4 linked regions of the Struthio camelus genome follow. The protein of the gene in region 3 interacts with the protein of the main gene of each other region in a biochemical or structural test. Links are inferred from orthologs where the notes say so. Each region holds a gene or a part of one and is shown on either strand. Other genes may lie near its edges. The genes, in order: RNF20, RNF40, UBE2A and RAD18.

The links.
Region 1: the proteins of UBE2A (region 3) and RNF20 form a complex in vitro, tested with the Homo sapiens proteins (4 studies listed by BioGRID, with this or other methods). The link is inferred for Struthio camelus from reciprocal best matches to the Homo sapiens genes UBE2A and RNF20.
Region 2: the proteins of UBE2A (region 3) and RNF40 form a complex in vitro, tested with the Homo sapiens proteins (3 studies listed by BioGRID). The link is inferred for Struthio camelus from reciprocal best matches to the Homo sapiens genes UBE2A and RNF40.
Region 4: the proteins of UBE2A (region 3) and RAD18 form a complex in vitro, tested with the Homo sapiens proteins (12 studies listed by BioGRID, with this or other methods). The link is inferred for Struthio camelus from reciprocal best matches to the Homo sapiens genes UBE2A and RAD18.

Annotation. Positions count from the first base shown.
Region 1 is NC_090982.1:15,765,554-15,773,193, reverse strand, and holds the start of RNF20 (E3 ubiquitin-protein ligase BRE1A), read left to right. Parts: upstream 1-4,588; 5' UTR 4,589-4,606; coding exon 4,607-4,613; intron 4,614-4,708; exon of another isoform or gene 4,709-4,794; intron 4,795-5,089; exon of another isoform or gene 5,090-5,221; intron 5,222-7,106; coding exon 7,107-7,273; intron 7,274-7,426; coding exon 7,427-7,594; intron 7,595-7,640. UniProt on the Homo sapiens protein: Component of the RNF20/40 E3 ubiquitin-protein ligase complex that mediates monoubiquitination of 'Lys-120' of histone H2B (H2BK120ub1).
Region 2 is NC_090973.1:1,071,729-1,079,464, forward strand, and holds the start of RNF40 (E3 ubiquitin-protein ligase BRE1B), read left to right. Parts: upstream 1-4,676; 5' UTR 4,677-4,718; coding exon 4,719-4,850; intron 4,851-5,851; coding exon 5,852-6,019; intron 6,020-7,736.
Region 3 is NC_090952.1:12,048,057-12,055,426, reverse strand, and holds the start of UBE2A (ubiquitin-conjugating enzyme E2 A), read left to right. Parts: upstream 1-4,228; 5' UTR 4,229-4,587; coding exon 4,588-4,631; intron 4,632-4,951; coding exon 4,952-5,032; intron 5,033-5,123; coding exon 5,124-5,149; intron 5,150-7,370. Other genes in the region: STEEP1 (STING ER exit protein), read right to left, coding at 303-395, 529-618, 1,142-1,280, 1,854-1,895, 2,264-2,381, 2,782-2,905. UniProt on the Homo sapiens protein: E2 ubiquitin-conjugating enzyme that accepts ubiquitin from the ubiquitin-activating enzyme E1 and transfers it to a E3 ubiquitin-protein ligase. In vitro catalyzes 'Lys-11', as well as 'Lys-48'-linked polyubiquitination.
Region 4 is NC_090955.1:1,140,635-1,148,478, forward strand, and holds the start of RAD18 (E3 ubiquitin-protein ligase RAD18), read left to right. Parts: upstream 1-4,751; 5' UTR 4,752-4,924; coding exon 4,925-4,999; intron 5,000-5,111; exon of another isoform or gene 5,112-5,328; intron 5,329-5,441; coding exon 5,442-5,523; intron 5,524-7,844. UniProt on the Homo sapiens protein: E3 ubiquitin-protein ligase involved in postreplication repair of UV-damaged DNA. Postreplication repair functions in gap-filling of a daughter strand on replication of damaged DNA.

The sequences.
Region 1 (7,640 bases), on a different chromosome or scaffold from region 3:
ATCTCATAACGCAACAATACAGAGCTTACCAAGATACAAACCAATTTCTGCATAACAACTCTTTAGAATTTAAGTGCATTATAGCTATGGATGATAGACTTAGGCTTATTCGGAGGAAACTAGTCATAGCACTGTTTCCAGAATCAATGCTTACAAAATCCCTCCATATGTAAGTGCCCTTGATGTTAGTAAATAGTTCAATGGGTATCCCTAGTAAATGTGCCCAAGCCTGGTGCACTACAACATGGCTTTTTCATTCCATTTCATACTCATGGCAACAGCATTGGACCCTTTGCTACATTTGTGAGAGGAGAAAAAAAAAATTGTCCTACTTTCGCAACCCACCCTTTGGCATAGTAAGGTAAAGGCAAAGTGATACAACAGCATATGATACTAAAGCAAACCTTAAAGAATCAAATTATGAGCACGGACTGAAGCTCTGTGCTTCAAAGGTCATATTTAAAATGCAACCTGGTAACTTTCTTACTGGCTGTCAGACTCTGATAACATGCAAGTCCTTGTTACACAAATCAACCAATAAGAAAGAGGTGTCTTTTAAGGCACTAGGATTTCTATTGTTGCTTCAGGAAGCCCATGATCAAAATAACAGAAGAATAAGATAAAATAATTTTGGAACCCGTAGTAGGTGATTCAGGAAATGAAGGGGGTTAGGCAGCTCAGTTTAGGAACTTCATCCTATTTATTTATTTATTGCGGTTGGTTTTCCAAGGAGAAAGCTACATTTGCTTTGAAGCCTAAGACCTGCAGGCACACAGGACAGGATCTGGCACTTTCTTTTGGAGTTAAGTTCCACTAATGAGCGTCTTCCTTCTCCTTCTTTTGTTTTTCTGTTTTTCTGGAGATTTTCCCTACTTTTCCTGTCAACCACATGATCTTGTGTAGTAGGCTTTCGGCGTATGTGTAAACTACCACAGAAAACAATAAGGGTTGTGTTTCATACCTGATATTCTAAGGTAACTACCCATCTGTTTGCCCTGCACTAAATACAGAAAAGGAGAACCTTGTGCTAAGGGCTAAGCAACCTTGTAATGTAAGATAAAATCAGTATGTTGTCATGAAGTAACAGGTTTGCTTTCACTTCACGGTTTAGCTAATGAGAGGTAGACTTGTTTGTGTGCTCACATAAAAAAAGACTTTTTCCACCCAAAAATTTATGGCAAGGGCTTAGCTCCATTTAATTGGGGGCTCTGGTTAGCTCTTTTAAGGCAGTCAGTCTGCAGTTCTGGATACTATTCTGCTTTGGCCCTACCCAGTGGTTGCTTGAGGACTGCATTTTTATAGCTTAGTCCTTAGTTCCATTTCTTTGACCTCTTTCCTTGCGTCTGCAACTTACAATCCCCTTCTCCATCTGCCACTGACAGCACCACCAGCTGACTGGCTGAAGCGTTTCTGCTCCTGGCTGTGGGATACATCTTTCTTCTGCTACATGTTCAGCAGATTCTAGGGCACACAACCTTTCCGGAAAAACAGAGGATTTCTCTCAGCCATCTGGGACAACGCCTCCTGTCAGCCATGTTCTCTGACTGAGTTTCACTTACAGATTTTTAGCAGGATCTGTTATGAACATCATGCTGCCTCTTATATGGCAATTTCTCCCAAAAGCAGCAGAGTTCTGCTGGATGAAGGATCTTTTGTGATTTGTCCTGGGTGTGTCAGACTTCCAAATTTAACTAGATGCCTGCACGCTGCCTGTCCAGACACACCTGGATAGCATGTGAATAGTTCACATTGCTGAGTCTCATCATCTTAGTTTACTGAAAAGGAAGCACTTCAAGCCATTTTCTAGGACTTTCATACCAAATGTTTGTTGTTCTTTGAGATGTATACATGCTATTCCCCTTAAAATTTGAGAGACAGACAACATTTAGGCTTTCATAGGTCCTTTTGATTTGGAATAGAGATTGATTTGACGAGAGGCTCAGGTATTCTCAGCGCAATTCTGGTCACAAGACTAAAGTCTTGTTTACACTGGCAGAACCAGTCAATTTGAGAGCCCTTTTGTAATCACTGCCCTAGCGTACTACTACTAGGAGCTCAGAAGTATCCTCTGTAGGCTGTTTCTTATGCTAACACAACTTTACTTATTCATTTTACCTCCAGTTTGGGTTGATGTTTCTTCATATCAGTCTCCTCTCTGCTCATATTCAAACATGAGCGCATGCTTTTCCAAACCTCTGCCCCAGTAATTCAAATTCCTGAGTAGCTGTAGTTTTGCATGAAGAATCTGCTTAAATCTCTCCTATAGCTATTGCAATTGAAGGACCTTGGTTAAACCTGCCAGTTTCAACAAGATGCAACACTACTTAAAATATTCCTAATGGACTGAAAATACTTCCAGATTACTCCTGCACACCTTGTAGTTCCTCTTCAGTGAGACTGGATTGCTCAGTTCTTCCAGTTTCTTCAGACAAGTATCTCAAGTATTAATACTCCCTCTCTTTCTCTCTTTAGCACCCTTATCAAGGCTTGCATTTCAACGATATCTGTCTTATCATCTGTGTATAAGAATTCACGAGGACATGGTAGCGAATCTATAATATCACTAGGGGAACTGCATATTCCTTCTAAGAACGGGAACAAGAATCTCAGTACTCAGAGAAAGACTACATGCCTTTCAGGAGTTACGTAAAGATCAGTGATAAAGGAAAGGAGGAGGAGGGCAATTTTGCTGTCTTCAGTTTGTCAGCGGTGTGCAAAAGTACACAGGTATCCTGAAATATAGCTGTCTCATTACTAGCATTACAGTCTGGCTGGCTAAAAAGGATTTTCCTGTTTAAACCTCTTTCTAGGGCACGCCCAAACTGTATGTAGTATACACTACATAAAATGAGAGCTCAAAGATCAATGTGGATATTTACTGAAAACATGGTAATTAATATAGATACTGAAGAGAATATGCTGAGTAGGAGGCTGTTTTGCAGGAAAAGGGTTTTTTTTTTTTCTGTGTGAAGGAAACACCAAGGTATGCAGAGACAGAAAAAACAGAAGATGAAATAAAAGTCTGTGACTGTCCTTACAGTCACAGCTTTGCAGTGATGATGTAAAGCTAAATTTTTTTTCCTACACAAGTCTATACAAGATCAGCATTCAAGGTGGGGGGGGGAAGGGAAAAATAGCACGGCGTCAAGGTGAAGAAAGCGCAAAGACTGAAAGCTAATGCTCATTCGAGAACCTGATTTTGAGTTTGTTCAGTTCAACAAAAAAGCTTGCATTGGTTTCAAAGATTTTCATCAAGGATTGCCTGCAGTAAGTATCAGTGAGCTCCCTTACCTTTTATTCTCAGCAAAGGGGTCTTCAGCTGAGAAATGCTGTGGGCAAAAAATGCATTAGCAAATATTTTGTACTTAGCAAGGCTTGAATGCAACCTTCTAAAAATACCCCGAGGGAGTATTCACCTTTTTAGTTCCGTTACATGACCATTATTCTCTGCTGTGCTATCACGTGGACGCAGACTTCAGCTAAGCTGGTAAACTGTCCCATATTAAGTGTTCTCACACTTCCTCATAAAACCAAGAAACTATCTTGCTCGCCAAGCTAGTTGTTGCACCTGCAGTGAAGAAAAAAATCACACAGGAAACATTTTCTTCGGAAACTTAGAATTTAATTCAGCCTAAAATCTTTTGTCTGGTAGTTTATTACTCTTGGGTATAGCAGTCACTGATACTGAGATTTTGTAATATGGCCACTGTTTTCTCTGTGGTGTTTTCAAAGAGAGAACAAAGAAACCAACTCTCGAGTTGGCAAAAAGAGACTCTCTGGGACTGCACAGAAAGCTTTCAGTTCCCTAAAGAGGCACACCTATTTCAAAATGATAAACAGAAAATAAACCCTGTCATACTGATCATGTCTGCTTCTGTTTTTCCACGTGTCAAGTGTTTCACCCTCTAGCAAGACGGGCGGACATGGAAACACGACTTTAAACAACAGTGCAGTTGGAGCTAGGCCAGGCGGAGTAGATGCGTTATTTTTATGTGGCGTTACATATACGAACAGGTGACCTGCATTGCAAAAGTTCACATACACCTGAATCCTAACTTCCTCAGAAATGAGGAAGTAGTCTCTTCTTCCCGTGCCTTCCTAACACCGCCCGCCCTGGTCGCTGCGGGGAGAGCCGAAGCCACGGCCCACGACGGACGGCGTTTCTCTCCTGCCGTCGTCCCCCCTGCCCGGGCGGCAGCGCTGCCCTCAGCCCCTCGCTCCTCCCGCAGGCGGGCAGCGGCGGCCGCCTCCGCCGCGGCCCTTCCCGGCAGCCATTTCGCAGCCCCGCGGCCAATGGACGAGCCCGGCGCCGAAAGAGAGACGCGTCCTCCCCGGCGCTGCCCGCGCGTCCCGCCGCCGCCGCCGCTCGGGCTGCCTCGGCCGCGCCTGCCCCGCCGGGCACCACCGGGGCGAGGAGGGAGGGCGGGCGCACGCCGCTGCCCCGCCTGAAGACGGCGGCTCGGCGAGGAAAGCGCCGCCGCTGCGGCGGGGCGGTGGCGACGGCCATCGCACGTGAGGGCAAGGGCGCTGGCTTCAGACGCCTCGGCAGCGCCATGGCAACGGCAGCCATGTCGGACGAGCGCAAGCGGCGGGCGGCGAGGCCGCCATGACGGGTGAGGGCGAGATGGCGGCCGGCAGCGCGGCGGCGCAGGGGCGGCACCGCCTGGCGTCCTCGCCTAGCGAGGGCCGGGATTGGACGGGAGGCGGCGGCCGTCACTTCCGGCCGGCCGCGGGGAGGCGGCGGCGGCGGCTGGGGGCGCGTATGGGCCGGCGGGGCCGCGGCCGGCGGTGCGGGTGCGGCGGGGGGCGCGTTGGGGACAGTGGCGGTGCGGCGGCGAGTGCGGGAGGGCCCCTGGGACGTGGGTGCCCCGTGTGTGTTGAGGGGGAGGGCCTGTTGTCGGAGCAGTCGTGTTGACCGCGGGGGGAGGTGGGCAGCGGGAACGGACGGGAGGCTGCCGGCGTAAACGGCGGCTGTGGAGGAGGCCCGAGTTTTGTATATGAGTGAGGAGAGCAAAAGGGATTGGGGGAGGGTGCGTTTCTTTGAAGTTGGCGTTGGTTGTGAGGTGGGATGGGTGGGGGCGGGGCAGAGGGAGGTGAAGGGTGGGATCTGTGCAGCGAGGGTGGCTGTGTGCACCGGGCAGAGTGAGTTCGTCATGGAGGGTGGGAGAGAGGAGCCTCGAAGTGTGTGGCAGGAACGGGCAGCTGTGTCGGGGGTTGTCTGGTTAGTATTGAGTTTAAAAGCTCAAACCCAGTTAGAAGGTAAGGGGCTGTGTATAAGTGGCGAAATATTACGTCTGGGGAAGGTTGCTGTCCGCAAATGATTGAGGGGGGTTGACTCTTGGCTGGTGGTAGGTGGGGGCGATGCCAGGTGGGAGTGTGTTTTGGTGCCTCTTAGTAAGAGAGGTTTGAAGGTAAGAGAGAGGCAGGAGGTATGACAGGCTGAGTGCCTGGTAAGGGAGAGCACCAGTCTTTGGCGAGCGTGGTCTGCTGTGGAGGTTGAGTGTGAAAGGACTGCGGCTGAGCTTGGGATTCAGTTCCTCAGGGAAAGCCAGGGGCTGTGGTCCTGAAGCCTTAGGGGCTGAGTTCTGGCACAGGGTACGTGAGAAAGTGAGTATATGAGAGATGGTGCCAGGAGGCAGTACAGTAAATGTTTTGTCCAGGGACAAAAAGGTTGAAAGGTGGTAGTCATTAATAACTCCTTGTCCTGAAGCATAGCAAATATAGCTTAGCAAAAGGTGTTCTCTCTCTGTCTGTCTGTCTCTCTTCTCCTCTCTCTTTTCTTTTCTTCTCCTAATTGTCTAGTCCTTGTAGCTAAAGTCATTGCCCACTGCATTACATTGCTGAAAGGAGAAAAATAGTTAAATGGAAGCTGCCTTTGAAACGTTTTTGAAATTAGAGATGTATTTAATGTTTTTTATTTCAAGACAGGTTATAAGAGCACGGGGAGAGATGTGTGGTATTTCAGTAACTCATTTTGAAATAGCCTTGCTACCGTTCTATATATGGTGAAAGCCGTTGTCAGAGTAAAATGCTGCTTAAAGAAGGTTTGGCAAAGCCACCAGTGTGCCAGCTTAATCTTCAAAATACAATAGCCTCATTACTTTCAATAGAACTACTCAAATAAAGCAAGTACATAAGTACTGCCAGGTTCATTTATAACCTGTAGTTGCACTGAAAGTGCCATTTTAGACTAAAATGGAAAAATACAAATCTTATTTGTATGCTATGCATTTTGTTTACTTTTATGTTTTAGTTAGTTGGGAAGTAGAAAGAGACCTGTAGATTGCATGGCCATTGTGAATATGGGAGAAGAATGCTACTTTCATCAAGTGAAGATCTAATTTGTTTCCTTGCCCAGCACTTGCAGCTGTATTTGTTTTGCAAACCTTTTGAAGAAATATTTGTTCCTTAATTAAAAAAAATCATATAGAACTAGTAGTCTAAAGTTTTTTCAGATTGCATTAATTTGGTCCCAAATAACGCTTCCAGAATGTTTATATCTCTTTTGAAACACACATAGCAAACTTACCAGAGGAGTCTTTACCAACCTCTCCTTGGAACTGCCTTTCATTTTACTAGTGTTTCTAAGGTCTTTATGTGAACTCTTATACGGCTTATCTTTGAGGTGCTGATGCCTTCAGCTTTATTTGACTGTGCATGTTGTTATCATAAGAATCCGGCTGGTACAAAGTGTATGCAAACTCAGGAAGTCTTTGGGTTATAGATAGTTCCTTGTAAAAGACAAATCATTTTTGTTAAAACACAGAGATAGAAAAGCCACAGGCTAAACCTGCATGAAATTTTTTTCCAAGGCGCATGACAAGGCACAGTGACTGTTTCTGAACGTTGCAGAGCAGTGGCTCTAATGCTATGTTATTTCTTTCATCCTTTTGCTACTCACCATGCTAGCCCTGCTGGGGCTACTCACTTTTGAACAATGTTTTCCAAAACTTTCTGAGTTAGATTTTTCTGTACTGTGTTGGGCATCTTACTGTGATGAATTGGTGCATTAAAAACCCTAAATGGAATTGACTCGGGGGGGGGGGGGTGTGCACGTGCATTTACTGTTTTTTTTTTTTAAATTGTGTTCTTTAATGTTAACGCAGAACTTAAAGAAGGGACAGTCTGCTACAAATCAGCCGCCATGTCTGGAGTTGGCAACAAACGGGCGGCTGCAGAGCCTGGCCCTTCTGCACCCCCAGAGAAGAAGGCAGGAGTTGAAGATTCAGGGACGACAGTGGAGACCATTAAGCTAGGCGGCGTTTCCTCAACGGTACGTCTTCCTTGCACACCTGCACTCAAGCTCTCGCTTGCTTATCTGGAAACAGAACTATCTTTCTTCCTTCTTTCTGAGCCCGGTGACCTTGGTTGTGGAGCATGCCAGTGCTGTGCCAGATGCATTGGTCTGACTTGTGCTTCTGCACAGGAGGAGTTGGACATCCGTACCCTACAGACCAAGAACCGGAAACTAGCAGAGATGCTGGACCAGCGGCAAGCAATTGAAGATGAGCTACGGGAACACATTGAGAAACTAGAGCGGCGGCAGGCCACTGATGATGCCTCTCTGCTGATTATCAATCGTTACTGGAACCAGGTTAGTAACATACTTTAATATGCTGTTTGCCCTTGTCTCCTCTTAT
Region 2 (7,736 bases), on a different chromosome or scaffold from region 3:
CAGGGCGTCCCCGTTCCCCCCCCCCCGTTACCCCAGGGCGTCCCCGTTACCCCCCCCCCGTTACCCCAGGGCGTCCCCGTTACCCCCCCCCCGTTACCCCAGGGCGTCCCCGTTACCCCCCCCCCGTTACCCCAGGGCGTCCCCGTTACCCCCCCCCTTTACCCCAGGGCGTCCCCGTTACCCCCCCCCCCCCCGTTACCCCAGGGCGTCCCCGTTACCCCCCCCCCGTTCCCCCAGGGCGTCCCCATTCCCCCCCCCCGTTCCCCCAGGGCGTCCCCGTTCCCCCCCCCCGTTACCCCAGGGCGTCCCCGTTACCCCCCCCCCCGTTACCCCAGGGCGTCCCCGTTACCCCCCCCCCCGTTCCCCCAGGGCGTCCCCGTTACCCCCCCCGTTACCCCCCCCGTTACCCCAGGGACCCTCTTTACACCTCCCCATTACCCTCCCATTACTCCTCAATAACCCCCCCCCCCATTACCCCCGGGCATCCCTGTTACCCTCCCCATTACCCCGGGGACCCTCATTACACCCCCCCCATTACCCTTGGGTAGTGCTGTCCCCCCCCCCATTGTCCCCTCTGTTACCCCTGGGCCCCCCCATGTTAATCTCAGTTCCCCCCCCCACCCCAGGGACCCTCATTACTTCTCTATTACCCCCTGTTACCCCTGGGTATCCCCATTACCCCCTCATTATCCTGGGGACCCTCATTACCCCCCCCATTACCCTGGGGACCGCTGTTCCCCCCCCCCCATTACCTCCTGTTTCTTCCTCGTTACCCTGGGGATCCTCATTACCCCCCGTTACCCCCCATTTCCCCCCCCATTACCCCTGGGGACCCCCATTATACCCCCCATTTCCCCCCCCCATTACCCCTGGGGACCCCCATTATACCCCCCATTTCCCCCCCCATTACCCCTGGGGACCCCCATTATACCCCCCATTTCCCCCCCCATTACCCCTGGGGACCCCCATTATACCCCCCATTTCCCCCCCCATTACCCCTGGGGACCCCCATTATACCCCCCATTTCCCCCCCCATTACCCCTGGGGACCCCCATTATACCCCCCATTTCCCCCCCCATTACCCCTGGGGACCCCCGTTACCCCCCATTACTTCCGCATTACCCCTGGGGACCCCCGTTACCCCCCATTACCCCGGGGGAGTCCTGTTCCCCTCCATTACTCCCCTGTTACCCCTGGGGACCCCTGTTACCCCCATTACCCCTGGGCATCCCTGTTCACCCCATTCCCCCTCGTTACCCCTGGGGACACCCGTTACCGTCTGTTACCCTTGAACACCCCCCCTTACCCTCCTTTACCCCCTGTTACCCCAGGGACCCCCCATTACCCCCCGGTTACCCCTCTGTTACCCCATCCCGTTACCCCATCCCATTACTCCGTTACCCCTGGGCATCCCCGTTACCCCGGGGACCCCCATTACTGCCGTTACCCCCCATTACCCCCCTTCCCCCACTTACCCCTGGGGACCCCCATTACCCCCCCCACTACTCCGTGTTACCCCTGGGACCCCTGTTACCCCTGAGCATCCCCATTACCCCCCCCCATTACCCCTGGAGACCTCTGTTATCCCTCCCTTATTGCCCCCCCATCACCCTCTATCATCCCCCTGGTACCCTCCCTGTTACCCCTTGTTCTCCCCTGGTTCCCCCCCCCACTTTAGCTTTTGGGCCCCTGTTACCCTCCTGTTACCTCTCGGTACCCCCGTTACCCTCCCATTAACCCCTCAGGACCCGTGTTACTCTCTTGTCCCCCCCGTTATCCTCCTTGTTACCCCTTGTTACCACCTTGTTACCCCCGTTATTCCCGTGTTACCCCGTTGTTACCCCGTTACCCTTCCTTACCCTGCAGCAACCTCTGTATCACCCCCGTTACCCTCGTGCACCCCATTACCCCCATCATTTCCTCGTTTCCCCTTTTCTGCCCGCTTCTCCGCTGTTACCTCCCTTTTACCCCCTCGTTACCCTTCATTAGTCCCTCGTTACCCCTGTTTCCCCCTTTTCTGCCCCTTGCTCCCCTGTTATCCCCCTGTTGTTACCCCGTTATTCGTCGTGCCCCTTGTCCCCCCCGTAACCCCTTTGTTACTCTGTGTTAGTATTTCTTTCTCCTTTTTGTGCCCGTTACTGCCTTATTACTCTTTTCTTCGTTGTGCTGTTTCCCCATCCCTCCTTTACAACCCCTTCGTTACCCCTCGTTACTCTGTTACTCCCCCATTCCCCCATTTTCTGCTCGTTACTCCCCCGTTACTCTCTTCCCTTATTACTGTTTTTCTGACCCTGTCGTTACTCCTTGTTACTCTGTGTTACTTCCCCGTTTCCCCCTTTTTGCCTGTTGTCCCCTCCTACCCTCCTTGTTCGCTTGTTACCCTGCTTCTACCCTGTTCGTCTTCTGTAATCTTTTTGTTACTCCTCGTTACTCCGTGTTACTCCCCCGTTTGCCCACTTTCTGCCCGTCGGTCCGGCGTCGCCGTTCTTTCATCCTTCGTTTGCCCCTTTCCCTGGTTGTTACCTTGTTTTCGTCATTATTGTCTTATAACCTCCTTGTTACTCTGTGTTACTCTGTGTTACTGCCCCATTAGCCCCCTTTTGTCCCCCTGCAATCCCTGTTACTTCTCTATGACTGTCTTGTTACTTCATGTTACTCTTGTCCCCCCCCCCCCACCTTTTTTTCTTCCCTCGTCGCCACCTGTTTTCCTATTACTCTTTTGTGGCTGCACTGTTACTCTTTGTTACCCTGTGTTACTCCCCCCCCCCCCAATTTTTTGTTTTACTCCCCTGTTAGCTCTCTTTTCCCTTTCCTACCCACCATTACTCTAAGTCACATGTTACTCCATGTTACTCCACGTTACCTCCCCATTCCCCTTTCGTTATCCCCCGTATTCCAGTTGCTCTCGTATAACCCCCTTGTTACTGCTGGTTACTCTGCGTTACTCCACCATTACCCCCCTTTCCTCCCCCCCGTAGCGCCTGCTGCTTGTTACCCTATGTTACTTCCCGTCCCCCCTTTTCCGCTCGTTACTCCCTTCTCCCCTTTGTTACCCTGCTCTTTGTTGTTCTTTTACCGCCCCTTGTTACTCTGTGTTACTCCCACGGTCCCCCTCCTCTGCCTTTCTCCCCTGCTGGCTCCCTTTTTCCGCCTTGTAACCGCTGTTACTCTTTCTCGAGTAGCGTGACTGCGTTGTTACTCTGCATTACTCTCCCGTTCCCCTTTTCTCACCTTGTTACTGCTCCTTTTTATTTTATTATTCTGTATTTTTATGTTACTCTTGCTTTGCTGCTTTATTAGTTCACGTTACTCTGTTACTGCGTCATTAGCTCCTCCTGCTTTGTAACCAGCGTTACTCTCTTAATAACACCTTGTTACCCCCTATTACTTCCCCATTCCCCCCCTTTCCCCTCGTTACTCCCCCGCTGCCCCCTTCCCCCCGGCCTTTCCCAGTCCCATTACAGCCCGTTTCGCTGTTACCCTTTTATAACACCCCTAATTATTCCCCGTTACTCCTTGTTACTCCCTGTTACGCCATCATTTTCGTGTTTCCCCCTCATCTCGCATTACTCCTTGTTCCCCTGTTACTTCCTAATGCTCAGTGTTGCTTCCTCTTCCCCCATTCTGCCCTGATACCCACTGTTACTTGACGTTACTCCCTGTTACTCCCTCATTTTCCTGTCACCCCTCATCCCTGCATTACTCCCTGTTACCCCCCATTGCTCAGCGTTGCTCCCTGTTCCCCCCATTTCTCCCTGACAGCTGCTGTTACTCGATGTCACTCCTTGTTACTTCCTGTTACTATCTCATTTTCCTATTCAGCTCTCACCCCGCGTTACTCCCCATTTCCCCCTCATTACCCCCCCAATGCCCAGCGTTACTCCCCCTTTCCCCATCCCGCCCGGATACCCGTTGCTACTCAATGTTACTCCTTGTTACTCCCTGTTACTCCCTCATTTTCCTATCACCGCTCACCCCGCGTTACTCCGTTACCCCCCAATGCCCGGCTTTGCTCCGTCTTCCCCGTCCTGCCCTGATACCTGCTGTTACTTGACGTTGCTCCTTGTTACTTCCTGTTACTATCTCATTTTCCTATTTAGCTCTCACGCCTTGTTACTCCCCGTTTCCCCCTTGTTACCCCCCTAATGCCAGTGTTGTTCCCTCTCCCACCCGTCCCGCTGTCATACCTGCTGTTACTTGGCGTTACTCCTCGTTACTCCCTGTTACTCTCTCATGTTCCTGTTCACCCCTCACCCTGCATTACTCCCCGTTGCCACCCAATGCTCAGCATTGCTCCCTCTTCCCCCCACCCCGCCCTGATACCTGCTGTTACTTGGTGTTACTCCTTGTTACTTGCTGTTACTATCTCATTTTCCTATTCAGCTCTCACCCCGCGTTACTCCCCATTTCCCCCTCGTTACCCCCCAATGCCCAGCGTTACTCCCTCTTTCCCCGCCCCGCCCTGATACCCGCTGTTACTTGATGTTGCTCTTTGTTACTCCCTGTTACCCCCTCATTTTCCTGTTCACCCCTCGCCCCTTGTTACTCCCCGTTACTCCCCAATGCTCAGCGTTGCTCCCTCCCCCCCACCCCCTGGATACTCACTGTTACTCTACGTTACTCCTTGTTACTCCCTGTTACTCACCGCGACTCCCGGTCGCGCTCTGCTCCTCAGCGTCACCGGCCAGCGCTCCGGGCGGCCCCGTCCGGCCGGCGCCATGTCGGGGGCGGGGGGCAAGCGGGCGGCGGGCGAGGGGGGCGCCGGCCCCCCCGAGAAGAAGGCGCCGCGCGACGAGCAGCCCCCGACCACCCTCATCGAGCCCCTGCGCCTCGGCGGCATCTCCTCCACGGTGGGTACCCGCTGCGCGCCCCCGGACGCCTGGGTCCCCTCTCTCCCCCGGACACCTGGGTCCCCCCTCTTCCCCCCCCCTCCCCCCCGGGCGCCTGGGTCCCCCCCTCCCCCCCGGGCGCCTGGGTCCCCCCCCCGGACGCCTGGGTCCCCTCTCCCCCCCCCCCCCGGGCGCCTGGGTCCGTCCCCCCCACCCCGGACGCCTGGGTCCCCTCTTCCCCCCCCCCCCCCCACCCGGACGCCTGGGTCCATCCTGCCCCCGGACGCCTGGGTCCCCCCCCCCCCCCCCCCGGGCGCCTGGGTCCCCTCTTCCCCCCCCCCCCCCCCCCCCAACCCGGACGCCTGGGTCCTTCTCACACCCGGACGCCTGGGTCCCCTCTCCCCCCCTGCACACCCGGTCGCCTGGGTCCATCCTGCCCCCGGACGCCTGGGTCCCTTCTCCTCTCCCCCCTCCCCCCTGCCAGACACCTGGGTCCCCTGGGGTGGCCAGACCTTCCCAGGCCCGGACACCTGGGCCCCCCAGACACCTGGGTCCCCTGGGGTGGCCTGAACCTGGTGGGTGCCCGGACGCCTGGGCCCCGCGGATTGGCCGGGATGCCAGGACACCTGGGTCCCCCAGAGGCCTGGGTCCTCTGAGGTCACCTGAGCATGATGGGTGCTGGGACACCTGGGCCCCCCGGACACCTGGGCCCCCCAGAGTGGCCTGAGCTTGGCCGGGATGCCAGGACACCTGGGCCCCCCGGACACCTGGGCCCCCCAGAGTGGCCTGAGCCTGGTATGGATGTTGGGACGCCTGGGTGCCCCGGACACCTGGGCCCCCCAGAGCGGCCTGAGCTTGGCCGGGATGCCAGGACGCCTGGGTCCCCCGGACACCTGGGCCCCCCAGAGCGGCCTGAGCCTGGCAGAGGCGGAAGGTGGGGTGGGGGGGGGGACCCCGGGTTGCCGGGGGTGGGGGGGCGCCGCGGGAGGCTGACGGCGCGCCCGGACGCCTGGGCCCCGCAGGAGGAGATGGACCTGAAGGTGCTGCAGTTCAAGAACAAGAAGCTGGCGGAGCGGCTGGAGCAGCGGCAGGCGTGCGAGGACGAGCTGCGCGAGCGCATCGAGAAGCTCGAGAAGCGCCAGGCCACCGACGACGCCACCCTCCTCATCGTCAACCGCTACTGGGGCCAGGTGGCGTGTCCCCCCCCCCCCCCCAAAACCCCATCCCTGACCCCAAATTGCATCCTGGCACCCCAAAATCCCGTCCCCGAACCCCAAACCCCATCCTGACACCCCAAAATCCTGTCTTCCAGCCCCAAAATCCCATCCCGGGGCCCCAAAGTCCTGTCCCCGAACCCCAAACCCCATCCCGGCACCCCAAAATCCTGTCTTCCACCCCCCAAAATCCTGTCCTGACCCCCCAAAATCCCGTCCCCGAACCCCAAACCCCATCCTGACACCCCAAAATCCTGTCTTCCAGCCCCAAAATCCCATCCTGACGCCCCAAAGTCCTGTCCCCGAACCCCAAACCCCATCCCGGCACCCCAAAATCCTGTCTTCCACCCCCCAAAATCCTGTCCTGACCCCCCAAAATCACGTCCCCGAACCCCAAACCCCATCCTGACACCCCAAAATCCTGTCTTCCAGCCCCAAAATCCCATCCCGGGGCCCCAAAGTCCCGTCCCCGAACCCCAAACCCCGTCCCGGCACCCCAAAATCCTGTCTTCCACCCCCCAAAATCCTGTCCTGACCCCCCAAAATCCTGTTTTTGAACCCCCAAATCCCACCCTGACACCCCAAAATCCTGTCTTCCAGCCCCAAAATCCCATCCCGGGGCCCCAAAGTCCCATCCCCGAACCCCAAATCCCATCCCGGCACCCCAAAATCCTGTCTTCCACCCCCCAAAATCCTGTCCTGACCCCCCAAAATCCCGTCCCCAAACCCCAAACCCCATCCTGACACCCCAAAATCCTGTCTTCCAGCCCCAAAATCCCATCCTGGGGCCCCAAAGTCCTGTCCCCGAACCCCAAACCCCGTCCCGGCACCCCAAAATCCTGTCTTCCACCCCCCAAAATCCTGTCCTGACCCCCCAAAATCCTGTTTTTGAACCCCCAAATCCCACCCTGACACCCCAAAATCCTGTCTTCCAGCCCCAAAATCCCATCCCGGGGCCCCAAAGTCCCGTCCCCGAACCCCAAATCCCATCCCGGCACCCCAAAATCCTGTCTTCCACCCCCCAAAATCCCGTCCCCAAACCCCAAACCCCATCCTGACACCCCAAAATCCTGTCTTCCAGCCCCAAAATCCCATCCTGGGGCCCCAAAGTCCTGTCCCCGAACCCCAAACCCCATCCTGGCACCCCAAAATCCTGTCTTCCACCCCCCAAAGTCCTGTCCTGACCCCCCCAAATCCTGTTTTTGAACCCCCAAATCTCATCCTGGCACCCCAAAATCCTGTCTTCCAGCCCCAAAATCCCATCCCGGTGCCCCAAAGTCCCGTCCCCGAACCCCAAACCCCGTCCCCGAACCCCAAACCCCGTCCCGGCACCCCAAACCCCGTCCCGGCACCCCAAAATCCTGTCCTGACCCCCCAAAATCCTGTCCTGACCTCCTAAAATCCTGTTTTTGAACCCCCAAACCCCATCCTAACACCCCAAAATCCTCTCTTCCAGCCCCAAAATCCCATCCCGGGGCCCCAAAGTCCTGTCCCCGAACCCCAAACCCCGTCCCGGCACCCCAAAATCCTGTCTTCCACCCCCCAAAATCCTGTCCTGACCCCCCAAAATCCTGTTTTTGAACCCCCAAATCCCACCCTGACACCCCAAAATCCTGTCTTCCAGCCCCAAAATCCCATCCCGGGGCCCCAAAGTCCCGTCCCCGAACCCCAAATCCCATCCCGGCACCCCAAA
Region 3 (7,370 bases):
GTTTTCTCCTTCCACTTTCCTTGTCCAACAGGTCAAGGAGAGTCTCCCTGCAAAAGCTCTGCCTGCTGCTCCTTGGTTAGCTCGATAGGTAGTTGTGCATGATTTTAAGTTCAGGAGGACTAGAGGAACACCTCTGTACAATCTGTAAAGGAAAAAAGATCCTGACAAAGCTACAGATTACCTATGACTGTACCAAGACCTCTCTATACTCTGATATACTCGGTCTGATCTGCAAGATAACTTCTGCATAGACAGCCAACAGATCACAGGGACTGGTGTTCAACAGTGAGGAAAACACTCACCAACTCCTGTAGCCGCCTTTTGCTCATGCCTTTGCGTTCCAGCTGCTTCTCAATCACTTTTGCATTCTGTGCATAGGAGTCTGCAATCTCCCTCTGAAACACAGTGTCACTTTGCAACAGTAAACCCTAGACTAATAGCATCTCATCCAGCTGGTGAGGTAACCATCAGCTCTGATTCAGCTGCCCAGCTCAGATCTGACTGGCACTGAGGGCAGAGAAAACTCACCGCTTCAATCTCTTCCTCCTCTTCATCGATTGTGGAGACTGTGACCGAACTGAACTTGCCCATATCTTTGGTCCGTTTGGTCATCATCACCTGCACGACAAGTAGAGTATTTTGTTAGACTCTGGGAACAGTTGAGTTACTAAGTGTTCCCCACCCCAAAGCTTTTAAGGCTTCTATACAAGTCATTAAGATTACATGAACTTTGTGGGTGGCACAGCAGAAGCAGCCCCAGTGATTTCCGGGCTCAAAGCTGTCATTATCAGGAGCAAACTTGCCTACATATAACTAGATGAGCCAGATTTTGAGAATCTGTGCGCTTGGCAACACAGACTGGGGTGACTACCAGTCTGACCTATTTACAAATTGAAACTTTCTGGTAACTGAGGCCAAAGATCAGGCAGAGTCCAGACTTCCAAATTCACTTTGCTGTCCTTTAGTTCTAGGACTCCAAGCTGCTGTGACCTCTGTAACGAAAGACTAAAGGCACACATGGAGAAGACAGAGCTGAGTTATCTTATTACAGGTCCTCCTCCTCCTCCCAATTAGGCCATTTTATCCACTGCACCTTTTTGAAAAGCAGAGACAGCTTTGTTACTGCTCTAAAGCTGATTACCTTTTTGGGAGGCTCTTGTTTCTGAGTATATATGTTTGTTTTCCCAAAGCCCTGGCCAAATTTGACCACAGCACCATCGACAATGAAAGTCACTGGAGCGTTTTTCTGTTGGTGTTGATAAAAGAGCAGCAGTCCACACCTGAAAACAGAAACATATCTAGCTGTAAGAAAACCCAGATTCTGGATTCCCGTAGCTACCTAACAGACGGACTCCAAAAATTACTAAACGAAATCACGATTGCCATGCTCCTGTTCTTGCAGCAATTAAGGGTTGAAATGCACTTTGAAAGGTTGAAGCCTTTTACAAAAACGCATGATACCAGAATAAATCAGCAGCCATTAAAAATTAGTCAGTAACTTCTGATTTTGATTATCCTAGTGTTCCCATTTTCCTTTGCACTCAGTGACACACGCTTAGCTCATCCCTGTTTTCCTAGGTCACAAAAACAAGTAGCTCAATAAAACAAACAGTGCTGTACAGAAATGACAGGAAGCGTCAAGCAGTATTCTAGTTTTAGATTTGACATGGATCAAGGTTGTAAAACACTGTAACAGACCCTTCTCAGGAGGGCTATTTTCAGTAACTAAAACAGGGATTAAAATGTTATTTCTAAGGAGGCACGGCAAATCAAGGAGGGTTGAAAAATGTAAACAAGCACGCACAAACACTGTTTTCTGCTGTCTTGTGAACACTGGCTCTGTTGTCACTTACTTGCCACATTTCTTTCTGTACTGTCGCTCTATACCCTCTGGCCTGGGGGGAGAGAGAGAGAGCACGTTAAGAAAAGCGCACAGGCCCCAGACACGACCACTCGGCTGTAAAAGGAAGTGACTCTAGCAGGATAGGGATATGAAGGCTGGGACGCTCACTTTTCCCAAATTACAGAGGGACTTTGAAGGATCTCCCCATCTGGGATAGCAAGGGAAACGGACACAGCAGACGGAGAGGATAAACGGGGCAGACGCTGGGGAAGCTGCGAGGGGTAATCCTCAGCGGGGGAAGGGGCGGGGGGGGCATCAAACCCGAGCTCCTTCACCGGCCCCCTTCAGACGCCGCTTCCAGCAGTGTCCTTGCCGGCGCGCAGCAGGGGCGAGCCCCAGCCGAGCGGGGCGCCGGCCCACCTGCGCAGGTAGACGCTCTCCTCCTCCTCGGCGTTGCAGAACTTGTGCGCGTGTTTGGCGGCGTCGATCACCCGGGCGCGGTCCCGCGGCCGCATGGGCAGCTTCTCCAGCTGGCAGTCTGCGGGCACACGGCCGGCCCCGGCCGCTCAGGTCCGCGGCCGGCGGCGGCGGCGGCGGCGCCCCCCTCCTTCTCCCCCCTCCCCGGCCCCGAGCGCCCCGCTCGGCCTGACGGGCCGCGTCGGGGACCAACGGCCGCGCCGCTAACGGCCGCGCCGCCTCCCCCCCGGCCAACGGCCGCGCCGCTAACGGCCGCGCCGCTCCCCCCCCCCCCGGCCAACGGCCGCGCCGCCTCCCCCCCGGCCAACGGCCGCGCCGCTAACGGCCGCGCCGCTCCCCCCCCCCCCGGCCAACGGCCGCGCCGCTAACGGCCGCCCCGCTCCCCCCCCCCCCCCGGCCAACGGCCGCCGCCGCTGAGGGGAAGGCGCTGCCCGGGGGCTCCCCGGCCCGGCCCGGCTCACCCAGCACCAACACCATCTGGCCGCAGAGGCAGTAGTAGACGTGCAGCGGCTTCTCGCCATCGTCGTACTCCTCGCGGTCGCGGGTGTCGGAGCAGACGACGGAGCGCGACACCACCTTGGGCATGGCGGCGCCCGGCAGCGCCGCCCCGGCGGGCGGAGCCGCGGCCGCCCCTTCACCGCCCCTTCGTCACGGGCGAAGCGGCCGACGGAGCAACCAACGCCGGGAGCGGAGCGCCCCTTCCCTCAGGCGAGGCAGCGGGTTGCACCGAGGGGCTATGGCTGCTTCTCCTGCAGTTGGGAAGCGTGAGGCTGGTCACACGGGTCAGCACCAGGGGAGCTAAACGGATCCGCTTTCCAACTCCAGGACAGTCCAGCGCGATTGCACGTTAGAAGCAGAGCCGGAACAGCTGAATTCAGACCTTGAGTAATTTCTCTGAAAGCAACAAATAAAGTAGCCTCATCTGGGCCTGATCTCAGCACAAAGGCACTCCGAGTTGTGAGGAATGGAAAGATGGTTAAAAATGATTTCCTTTCGAATAGCTCCGTTCAGGTTTGTCCAGGCTTCGATCGTCCGCAGAGGAATAGCGATCTCATGCATACCAGAACCCAGGAAGTGGAACAAAGTCTCTTTTGGACAAACATCAATAACTTGCCCGTTTCTTATTGTGCAGTCTGAGTAAAAGTAGGGAAGGCCAAGAATAAGACAGATTTTTCAGTGTAGCCATGCAAGCAATATTTTCAATGTCTGATAAGCTTTAGCCATTTCTTTCTCTTACCTGACAAGTTCTGTCAATGGGAATGAGTCTTCCTCCCACGTCTTTTTCTTAAGCCACCTCCCCACATAACTATATTACATAAGATACAAATGTGGATAAGTTACAAAAACAGGGTCTATCCAGTCTCTTCTAGGTCGTAGCAGAGAGAAATTCTCTACGCTCAAAGGCTGCAAGAAAGGTAGAAGAGAGATTACTTTCTCTTAGAAGACTATGCGAGAGCAGAAAATGCACCATAGCAGGTGAAGGAGTAGAAAGACCTCCCTTCATTCTTTTAATTATTAGTCAAGATACTAAAGACTTATGATTTTAGTGCACTAGCTACCAGATTTTAATGGAGGGTGGATGTTGGCTCAGAAACAATTCAATGCAAACAGGAGATGGCACACGGACGCTTATAGAAGAAGAAACATTTACTGTGAGTAAATAAATGATAATAAACCACGGGTCCAAAAGACGCCCAACGTCACCTGCCCTCTAAGCCACAAGCAAAACACAGCAGCAGAAGCAGACACCGTTTTCCACTGAGTTACCACCACAAAACGCCCAGGCTGAGCACCGCCCGGGGGCGGGGCCGCCGCGGCCCGCCCGTCCCACCAGCAGCGCCGCCGCGGGGGGGAACGCGCGACGCGGCTCTGGGAAGGCAAGGCGGCCCGCCCTCCTTCCATGACGTCAGCAGGCCCATTCCGCTTCCGGCTCCCTCCGTCCGCGGCAGGCATTGGTACAGTCCCCGGTGCCCTAGGCCTCGCCCCCTCCGCCGCGGTGGTAGAGGCGGCTCCGAGGGCCGAGCGGCATCCGGCTCCGCCCCCCGCCCCCTCGCGGCAGTTGGTACAGGCCGGGCTCGCCCGGCAGCAGCGGAGGAGTCGGCGCAGCCCGCGGCCTCCCCCCGCGCCGGCCCGGTGGTAGCGGCCGCGGTCGCTCCTATTCTCCAGCGCTGCCGCCGCCTCCGGAGCTCGCTGCTGCCGCCGCCGTCCCTAGGCGCCGCGTCTCTCCCTCCGATAGTGTATGAGTGATTTATAACCCTGCGCCCGCCATGTCCACTCCGGCCCGTAGGCGCCTCATGCGGGACTTCAAGAGGTATCGAGGCCGCTGGCTGAGGGGAAAGGGAAGGGCGAGCGGGAGGAGGAAGAAGGGCTCAGCTCCACCGGGGGAGGAGGGGGCCAGCACAACATGGCGGCGGGGTAGGGCGCGCTCCGCTGATTGCGTAGCGCCGGGCCACGCCGTCTGGGCGCGGGTTACGCTGTTTGCGCAGGGGCGTGTAGCTACCTGCCCGGGTTACGCCAAATGCGCGGGGGGGGGGGGGGGGGCGGCCGGTGGCTCGAGCCGCGCCGGTGGCGCCCCGGGGCGGGGGCGCCGGGGCCGGGGCCGGGCGCCTGAGCCCTCCGTGTGCCCCGCAGGCTGCAGGAGGATCCCCCGGCCGGCGTGAGCGGGGCCCCCTCCGAGAACAACATCATGGTGTGGAACGCCGTCATCTTCGGGTGAGTGGGGCCGCGGGGCGGGCGGGCGGGCGGGGGGGGGGCGAGCCCAGGTGCCGCGCGGTAACGCTGTGCTCTGCTTCCTCTCCTCTAGGCCCGAGGGGACCCCCTTCGAGGACGGTAAGTGCGGCGGGGCGCGGGCCTCTCGGGTGAGGGGCGGCTTGGCACAGGCTCGGTGGGGCCCTGCCGCGGGCCGGGCGGCAGTTGCGGGCCTGGGGTGGGGAGGGGGCGAGTCCGGGATCCGCCTGGCAGCGCTCCGTCGCCGTGCCGCGCCCGCGACTTCAGTGCATCTCTTTCCTTCCCCACCTAAAGAAAGTGGAATAGACCTAGATTGCTGCCTTGATTTACAAAAACATGCAAATTAGCCTGTTGACCTTGATTTATGAAAACGTGCAAATTAGCCTGTAGAGGCTTGCTCATAATCACCAAATCAGGCTGTCCTCTGTCTGATCTAACATACCATTCTAGGGATATCAGAACGTTTTTGTTGAATTCTGGATCGTGTTTTAGAGATCGTGTTTATAGTTGGAGCACTGCCAAAAACCTGGTATAGACCTGTTGTCATCTCGAATGACATATCTTGGGTTGTGTCTTTTTTGATGCTGAAAATGCTTTACAAGTAGGTCCCAGTGTGAGCGAGGTAACATAAGGATATGGACTGGGTGTTTGAGGAAGTTCAGAATAGAAGTTTCTTTTCTTGCCACCTACCTCACTCTACTACAATCAGTATCATTCCAGGTTAAAGATTAAAATGACTTTTTCAACTTCAAAGCTGACTAAATAGGTCTGTGTAACATACCTGTGCACTACTTGTTTCTGTCTGGCCTTGCTCTCTTTTATAGCTCTACTGATGCTGTATGAATGTTTCAGCATCTTTGTAGAAACTCGTTAGACATGAAATACTGTCTAATTGAACTCAGTGATGCTTGCTTATTTATTTATTTATTTTAAGATACTTTCAGTGCAGGGCTATAATTAATCCTAGATCTTCATGACTCATGCCAAAAGCATAGGAAAAACTCTTTAACTCTTAAGTTGTTTTTGGCTGGCTCCTTTGTCTCTGCTTATCCTCAGAGGTAGCACCTGTAGGCAGGCCTGTAAATTCCACATCTCTTCGGTGAAGATGTTGAATACTTTCAGTATCTCATACCTGAGAAAACTCCATTTACTTGTTTTTGTTTTTAAATACATGATTATGCAAGAAGCTCTAGAAGTTTCTTGAAGAAAGTCTAATGTGGTTTGGAACTTGAGTGTTCTCCAACAAATATCACAGAAATGGCACAAGTGTCTTCTGTAATCTCATCTTGGAAACTTAAGAGGAGGACTTCCTTAAACTTCTGTGAGGGTTGATAGAGCTGCCTGGGTTCTTGGTACACGGGCACTAATAGAATGATTTGCTGTTTGGAGGCCTTCTCCTTCCAGTGTGGACCTGGTAAATTGCAGGTTGTTTCCATGTTCAGTCACTTCCAGTTCAGCATGAGGTAAACAGATGTTATAAGGGCTTTCTCCATATGTATCCATTTATTGACTGAAGACTGGAGACTGCTTCCGAGTGCCCTGACTTATTGATTGTGTCTGTGGCTTTCCATTATGGTAGTATTGTGCCTTTATCTCACATACTTAGGGCCTCTTGCACTCTCAGCAGTTTGAAGTTCAAACTGATGCTTGTGTTGGCTACGGCTGTCCTACTGCTTTGGTTGCTATAATAATATAATCTTGGTGTCTGATGGATTGCTCTTTTCATAGCAAAGTGTGTGTTTTCACGGCGCATGCTCAGGAAAACAGATATGTCTTGAGCTGCAGGATACACTTATCTCCTTTCCCCTGGCACATATCTTACATTGTGCTAGATAACAAAACACTAAGTGGTGCCTAGAGATATGGATGTAGTGGTTTCTATGTGCTTTTTCCCCCCCTTAACTGAGAGGACTAATGGTAGCACAGTTAAGATGCAGTTTAGCTTAATGTGGGTAAAATAAAAGGACCTTCTATTTAACAGTATTCAGATGTTAGTTTGGGCTTGTTTTGTAGCTGTTCAGCCCCTCGTGAGCCAAATGTATGCTAGCGTTCTGTAATTCTTCCCGTGAAGTCTTCACAGGGCTTAGTTCTTCAGAAGTCACTTTGTATTTTGGTTGTTGAACTCTGTCACTTCCTGGTGGTACTGCTAGACTCCAAATATATGGGTTTGTGTGAAAGTAGCCTGTGAAAATTTTCTTGTTAAACTGCAGCTATAGTAATTCCAGCACAGTGAAAATTACAGTTCTTCATCCTCGTTCTGGTGAGGCCTCCCTTGAATCTCAAATTCCAAAGTTTCTTAGGTTTATCTGAATTGAAAACCTTA
Region 4 (7,844 bases), on a different chromosome or scaffold from region 3:
TGCTATTTTGGAGGTTAAGATGAGGACGGCTGTTTGACAGGGAGCTGGAAGGGGTGTCTGCCGTTCTTCCACAGCTAGCTCCCGGCAGGCTGCTCCGTCTCTTCTGCCTCCAGTTAACCAACCTCCTCCATCAGCGATGACCCAGCAGGAAGGGACTGGCGGCCAAGCAACGCATATGCGCGTCCGTCTCTGGGGACCATGCCTTATGGGCACACAGCCGTCCCCGCGGCCCCTCCTGAGCAGGTGCCACCTGGGCTCCCTTACCCTATTGCTCTTGGTGTAGCTGCTGGTGATGGCGAAGGTTTCTTCTGCCCAGGGCACGGGTTTCTTCACGGCAACGTGTCTCACAAATTAAGTGCTTGGAACGCAATCGCTACCCGTCAGGATAATTTTGCATCACAGTGAAGAATGTGGTAGGGGTGTCAGTAATGCTGGGGCACCTGAGGCCTGGTGCCCTCTCAGTGGCGGGAGCAGAGACCGTGCCAGCGCTTTCCTCCCTTCCCAATGCCGTCTCACAGCTGTCCTGACTTGCCTTTCCACGGAAATGCAGTTCCCATGTCGCTGGGGACGAGGGTCGCCGTACATTGCCCATCCCCTCTTGCCAAGAACCCATAGCCACTTCTAAGAATATTTCACCGAATAGCAGGCATTTTGGAGCCAAACGCTGCATTTTCATGCAGCGAGGCAAAGGAGAAGCTTTTATTAATACCCCAGCTGAAGGGCTCCTCAGCTCGCTCCCCACTTCTTCTAGGTTGTTTCATAAGGCGTTTTACCATGGAAATATTTTGTTACTTATTCAGTAGCAGCATGCATAGCTGTGGCTCAGCAATAAACACATTGCCCTTTGCTATTCATCAGTCTACCAAAGTACAGAATAAACATGTTGCTGTGCTAATGAAACCCTTATGTCAATTCCTGGGCAGAATCAGTTAATCGCTAGCCAATAAGCTTGTCTCATAAGCTATGTGAAACTGGAACAAGAATGTATGAGGGAAGAGAAAGAAGAGAAAATTTAAAAAGATCCGTAAGAAACTGATATATCAATTTCTCATAGCTTAGAGAAAGCAGAAGAAATGGATTCCTTAAAATGTTAGAACAAGCACTTAAACTGCAATGAAATTATCCTGTAAATACTACGTATTTTTAGCACATCTCAGGCAGTAATTAGTACCATTCAAATATACAAATTCAGAGATTTAAAGCATAAGCCCAGCAGAGACTACTATGATAATTTGTTCTGACCTCCTCCATCCTATGGTCATGGTGTGTCCTATATATATACATAAAAAGTGTGTGTGTGTGTGTGTGTGTGTGTGTGTGTGTGTGTACATAAAAGAATTATTGAGTACCAGTTCATGGAGCTTGACTTTATTTTACCAAAAAAGCAGATTAGAGTGAATCAGGAGCAAGTCCGTTGAAATTGCACTACTGCAAAACTTGTCTTATGGGAAAAATGAGGCACTCATGTGCATGGTTTTCAGATAACAGCACAATTGAGTCACTGGCAGGTGCAAAACTGAGGTGCTCAAAACCAACCTGTGAGCTGAAGGAGGGCAGAGAGCAAGATATTACTGTTCTGCAGATTAATGTACAAATGTTAAACCTGCATGTGTATGTGGAAAAACCTTTGCTCCTATAAATTTAATCAGTAATAAAATTCATAACTGTGCAGCACGCAGGGAACTCTATCAGTGGATTATGCTGGGCTGCCTGCTGGTGGACTGGCATCTGCTCATCTTGATTGAGCACGCTGTGCATCGGGCACTCCTTGAGCGGCAGCTGGCATGACCTTGCTTTAGGCCTTAGCGTTTGAAATTTGGATTGCATGAAGCTTTGTCACTGTTAAGGCAAAGCACATTTTCGCTCTGGAAAACCGTAGGTACTAGCAGAAATGGAATTTCATCTTCTGAACTCTGCCTTGCATTGCCAATGTTTATTAGAAAAAGCAAGAAGAGGGTGGCCCTTCCTGGGACGTTTTTATAAGACAATGTAGATGCTTCAGTGTGACTGTTTCCAAGATAAAGTCATTCCTTTCATCGAGCCATATTTAGTGTAATCTGCTACTGAAAATGTCAGTAGCAGAACTGACAGGCTACCTTAAAGAAGATTGATAAACACTAATGAATACACTGCAGGAAGACAGAGGGATGACGGCACAGTTCCAAGCAAGCGTATTGAAGCAGAAGTTTTCTGTGCAAAAAAATCTATTTTGACATAATTGGTATTTACAGTAGAAATGCAACCTCTGCCAGCAAATCCATATATTTCTCCAACACAGACAGCTATTAATCACACCAGCAAACAGCGTCACGTTGAGATTGGTGGAAAAACTTCCATAAAATCAGATTTTAAGTTAAAAGGAAATAGAGCTGCGGAAGCACAGGTACTACTGTGCTAACTGTTGTCAATATATCACATTTTTATTTTCTTACTTTACAGAGTATTTTTCCAAAGCATGATAGGACTGAGGATTCAAAGTCATTTAGACTTGTTTTGGCATTTTATCCTATACTGCTTTGGCAATGCACTAAGTTCCCCAAACTCCTGGACAACTTTTAAACCTTCTGCAAGCGCATCAGTAGTGCTCAGTCATGATCAGTGCTACCTGCCCCTTTTTGTTTGTTTTCCATCCATGCAGCTTTTTATTTTTAGCCTGGGTTTTGCGGTGCCCACTTTGAGGAGAACAAGCAGCTCAATCTCAGCCTTTGTGGCCGATGGAAGCGATGGTGATAATGTGCGTTACCATAGCAACCCATCCCCGCGACAGGTACGCGCATACAGCAGGTTGTTCCCATAGCACAGGTCTGACGTACACCTCTACAGAGAAATGTAAACAGAAAAAGTTACCTGTGCTGAGATGAAGTAGGTTAATTGCAAAAGAGAAGTTAAGTAGGAGACCATTTCCCCAGATGTTTTGGACAGTGTTTTAGCTATTTTTTAAATGAATATACCCTGGAAGACACAGACAAAGACTATCATAGCAGCTAATAGCATCCCTCAGTGCCGCATCTCATTTTTCACCTGAGTGAACAGTTATGACAGTGGTTGAGAATTGTATGGCATCTAGAAACCATCCATAAGAGTGCAGTGAAGAGGACACATGCATAGAAATGAGTGCCATGATTTTAGCGCTTATGTGTGTCCCCTGTCCTACTCTGTCACCTGTCTTTCCTCAGTTATTATATCACACTGTTCCAGCAATATTAGATTGCAAAACAAATCAATTCACAATCCTGACTTCTTGTTGCCATTAACTCTGCTGCTGCAACACATGCTTTTAAACAGTGAAGCTGATATAGCGTTGACAAGGGATAGCATGACATAGCTCCATTGCTGAAGAAACAAAACCACATCTGGCAGATTCAGCGTTTATTAATCCGTGGAGTAAACAGATCCTTGACGTAGTCCTGCTGAGATCAGCAAAGTCAGACCAGCTGCAAAATCAGCTCCATCTCCCAGGCGCCCCTGCGACCGCGCGTAACCGCCTGGTACGCTCCCCATGTACACCGCTATCTCTTTGACATAAAGAAGATCCAAACTCGATTTTAGCCTTTACCCCAGTCAACATGCTTTTCTCCCTACCTGGAGAGAAAAGTTGGATATTGTATCGTGTCACAGTGAAGGAGAGAAGGAAAGCCACGTTGGGTAACCACCTTCTCCTACCCGCGCTACCGCAGACACGACCGCTGCCATCAACGCCCCGACGCTCAGCGTGCCACCTGGACGGTTCTGGGCTTGGTTTTGGTTTTTAACGTGGCCTCTTCTCCGGGTTCCCCCATCCTGCTGTCAGCGGTGTCTCTAAATCTAACTCTTTGTGCTGCAGTAGCTCTGCACCAGCTGGACTGCCCTCTCTCTACACACAGCTAACCCCTGCACTAACAGTCTATCTACCGTTTTGACCACTGCACCCGTTCTTTGTTTTCAGCCAAAACATGTTGTATCTGCCCAAAACACTGCTGCAAATGTTATTTTTGGCTCACTTCCATTTCTCTCTGAAAGCAAAATAGTGATGAAAGCTGAATGGCAAATTGAGTATTTCTACAAAGCAAAATGTCATATGGGGGCTCTATTATAAAAATAATGTGAATTACTGAGGCTCAGAACAGGATCTTAGTCCGTCCCTTGCGTACTACAAGGGAACACTGGCTGGTGCGGGGGTTTCTGCCCGCGTCGGTTCAAGCGAGCCGACGCCTTCGGCCCGGCCTTGCCTCAAAGGCCGTTTAAACGCAGCCTTTTTTGGGGGGCTACGCGCACACCCCAGGGCCATCGGCCTCCCGCCGGCGCCAGGCCGCCCCCGACAACCCACCCGGCGCCCGGCGAGCGCTTCGCGCGCTGCTCCTCCGCAGGGCCTGTAACGTTCCCCGAGCACGAGTTTTTGAATTAAACGTCATTAGGAAATGAAAAATGAGTAATATGCTCTAGTTGGGGGGAAAAAATGCTCAGTTTTGGGTTCGTATCGGGCGCGGAGGCGCGGGCAGGCCGCTCCCCCCCCCCCCCGCCGCGCACCGCCGCCCCTCAGGCAGCCGTTAAACGCTCCGCTCGCGCCTACAGCGGGGGGGGCCGAGTCCGCCCCCGCCCCGCGGACTACAACTCCCGGCAGCCCGCGCGGCGGCCCGGGAAGCCGCAGGGAGGCTGAGTCCGCCCCCGCCCCGCGGACTACAACTCCCAGCAGCCCGCGCGGCGGCCCGGGAAGCCGCGGGGAAGCCGAGTCCGCCCCCGCCCCGCGGACTACAACTCCCGGCAGCCCGCGCGGCGGCCCGGGAAGCCGCGGGGAAGCCGAGTCCGCCCCCGCCCCGCGGACTACAACTCCCGGCAGCCCGGCGGAAGCGCGCCGACGTCGCGGCGCGCGGAGCGCGGGGGATTTGGACGCGCCGGCGGCCGCGGCAGGGCCGTGCCGTGCCGTGTCGTGCCGTGCCAGGGCGCTATGGCCGCCGCGGCGCTGGCGCTGCCTCTGCCCCTGCCCGAGCCGCCGTGGCCGCCCGGCCTGGCCCCTCTGAAGGCGCGTGAGGGCGGAGCGGCGGCGGGCCTGCGCCCCGCGGGGAGGGTGACATGGCGGCCGCGGGCCGAGGGGGGCAGCCAAAATGGCGGGGGGGGAGGCGTGAGGGGAGCCCGTGAGGGGAGCGGTGTCCGCCCGGCGGCGGGAAGGGCCTGGGCCCGGCGCGGCCCGGGGCTGAGGGCGGCCGGCTCCGCTCTGCTCAGGCTTCGCCGTCCCCAGCCGGGCGCCCGGCGAGGCTTCGCTCTGCAGGGGTCTGCCGCGGCACCTCTTTCGGATATAAGTAATGCCGGGCATTAAATTCCACCCTTGCGGGCTGCGGGTGGTGCGTTTCGGTCTGTGTCGCTTAAGAATGTGGTGCGCAAGGTCTTATGCTGTGCGAAGTGTGTGTTTGCTCGTTCGCGGTTCACGCAAGAAGTCCTCTAAGTGACCTGTGTTTTCCTTTCAGGCGGTGGACGACTTGTTGCGGTGTGGGATATGTTTTGATTACTTCAATATTGCAATGATCATTCCACAGTGCTCACATAACTGTAAGTACGATTTAAGGAAGCATGATTTCCTGTACTGAAAGTACTATGTAAATTTCTTGCTGTTCTTGACTCATTTCATCCTACTATCTCTTGTAATTTGCTATTATTTTTTGTTCATAGAGGTGAACGTGGAACTGTTATTTCCTTTTCATTGTAAATCTATACCTGCTGTCCCATGATTAACACTGTATTTTATTGAAGATCACATAAAAATCTGTATTGATTTGGGTGATTAAAATCAAGGTTTAATAAAAATTAGACTTATGAATGGCTCTAGAATAGGAGTCAAAGTGATCTTTTTATGGCAAGTTGCTAAATGGGTGATGAATTCATTTTTCCCACTATGCTATGGCTTTTAATATAATTTAAGATTATATTTTGTTTAGTTTGCACCTTCCCATTTATTCCAAGGAGTATAAGGGTGGCTGTGATAGTAGTGCATCTTGGCCTTATGACTCCAGTTATGCCTAATCTGTCATTCAGCTGACAGATTAGGACGAAAACAGAAGGCCAAAGAAGGCATATAGAATATTGAGTGGATGGCTCTGTCCTCCTATATCTTTCCTGGAAAACACAGGACTGGAGAGTGGCCTTGTGGTTTTTATTACGGGTTGACAAAATCCACTTGCGCCTTATCTGTGTGACAGAAAGCCACTGAAGAAACTTTCTTTTCTAAACTTACTTTTATAAACTTTCTCCTCTATGGTTTTATAGACAAGCCATCGTTTGACCAATTATTATTTACTGGAGTGTAGTGCAGAGGCTATCGATCCTTTATTTCCTTTACAAAATTTTCAGTGCTACTCCACAGTTTAGTCAGCAAAGAAGTTTGCCTGTGCAATATTGCAGAGGACCTCTTTTGGATGAGAGCTGTGAAGCAGCCACCAACTTTTCCACGAGCAGTTTGGGTGCAGCCTCTGTTCTGATGATGATACAAATGCACATACTGTCTGGATTAACTTAAATCCCATCTATTCCTAAAATCCTTCATTTAAATGTCTTTCATAAAATCTTGAGGTAGGAGCAAATCTCAGAGCTGTATGGCAGAAAGCATTGAGTATTATGAGCTAGAATTTTTCATGCCACACTGTCTGCTTCAGGCTGAAATCTGTTGGAAGGTGGTAACAAAACGGTTTACTGAAGTCAGATTAGGAGAAAGTACACTGCCTGTCTCATGTTAAAATGAATGCCTATGATTGTTTCATTCAGAAACTGTAGTACTGTCTTACAAAAAGGAGAACGTTGTAGTTTGGCAATGAGATTTAGCTTAGCTTGGTAAAACTGTAAGCGACTGAAAACAGTGGAAGAAGCACTGGAAATTCCTTACGGTAGCTGGTGTTACTAGCCTGCCTGTGACACAGCTCAGTTCAATGGCCCTTAACTTGAATAAGAAACTGTCTATCTTACTGTGTTTCACAGGTTATATATTTGACTTTTTCCTTCCCGATTTGCAACAAGCCTAAGTTTTCTACAATAAATCAGGATTTCTTTAAGGCCTTAAAAGTAGGGCCTTCCTGTTTTTTTTCTTTTTTTTTTTTTTTAAATCCTAAACTCATCTCGCAAACTGAATCAATTTATGCTGAGGTGGTTTAAGAGGTTATTACCACCAGATGTGCTTCTTATTGGTTGGTGTTCGTTACCGCTTGTAGTAGGAGTATTAAAACATGCTGCCCCTCCTGAGGAATCTAAAGGGCTTAAATGACCCAGTGACTGTGACATGGTTGAGGGATGTCTCCGATCCGCGCGCTGCAGCGGCCTCCAGCAAGGGACTGAGCTGGGTGATGGGAAGAGCTACTGACCGCATCAGCCCCCTGTGAATTAGCAGCTTTCCCAAGTCGCAGCCTTCGTCCAAGCACAGCTCAGCATGAGCGCAGCTCTGCGGTCTTGGCCTGTGTCAAGAGTAGTGTGGAAAGTGGGGCTTTGACTTACTCATATAGAAATGTCCACAGCTGTTGGAGGGAGCTCTTTCCTGTCATTCAGGATTTCTCTTTTTTAAAATCTTTGTTGAACTTGCCAGCCTGTTTCTAGCTAAGCAGGTTTCAGAGTTGCTTGTTCACTTAGAGTTCTAGATGCCTGGTGTGTAAATTGTGGCATCCTTGACTCTTGTTCGTTACAGAGGTTTGTAATGTCCCGAGGCCAAGCTTGTTTTGTTCCTCTTTGTTCTCTCCACCTTGCTTCTTTCAGTTTAAGCTTAATGGAGTGGATTATTTGCTGGCAATGCTTTGTATGTTTCTACTCTGTCATTTTCATTTAAGCGTTCAGAACTGTTTCTCAGATTAAATTAATATTTTGAGATTCTCTTCCTTTCTATATACTGAAAT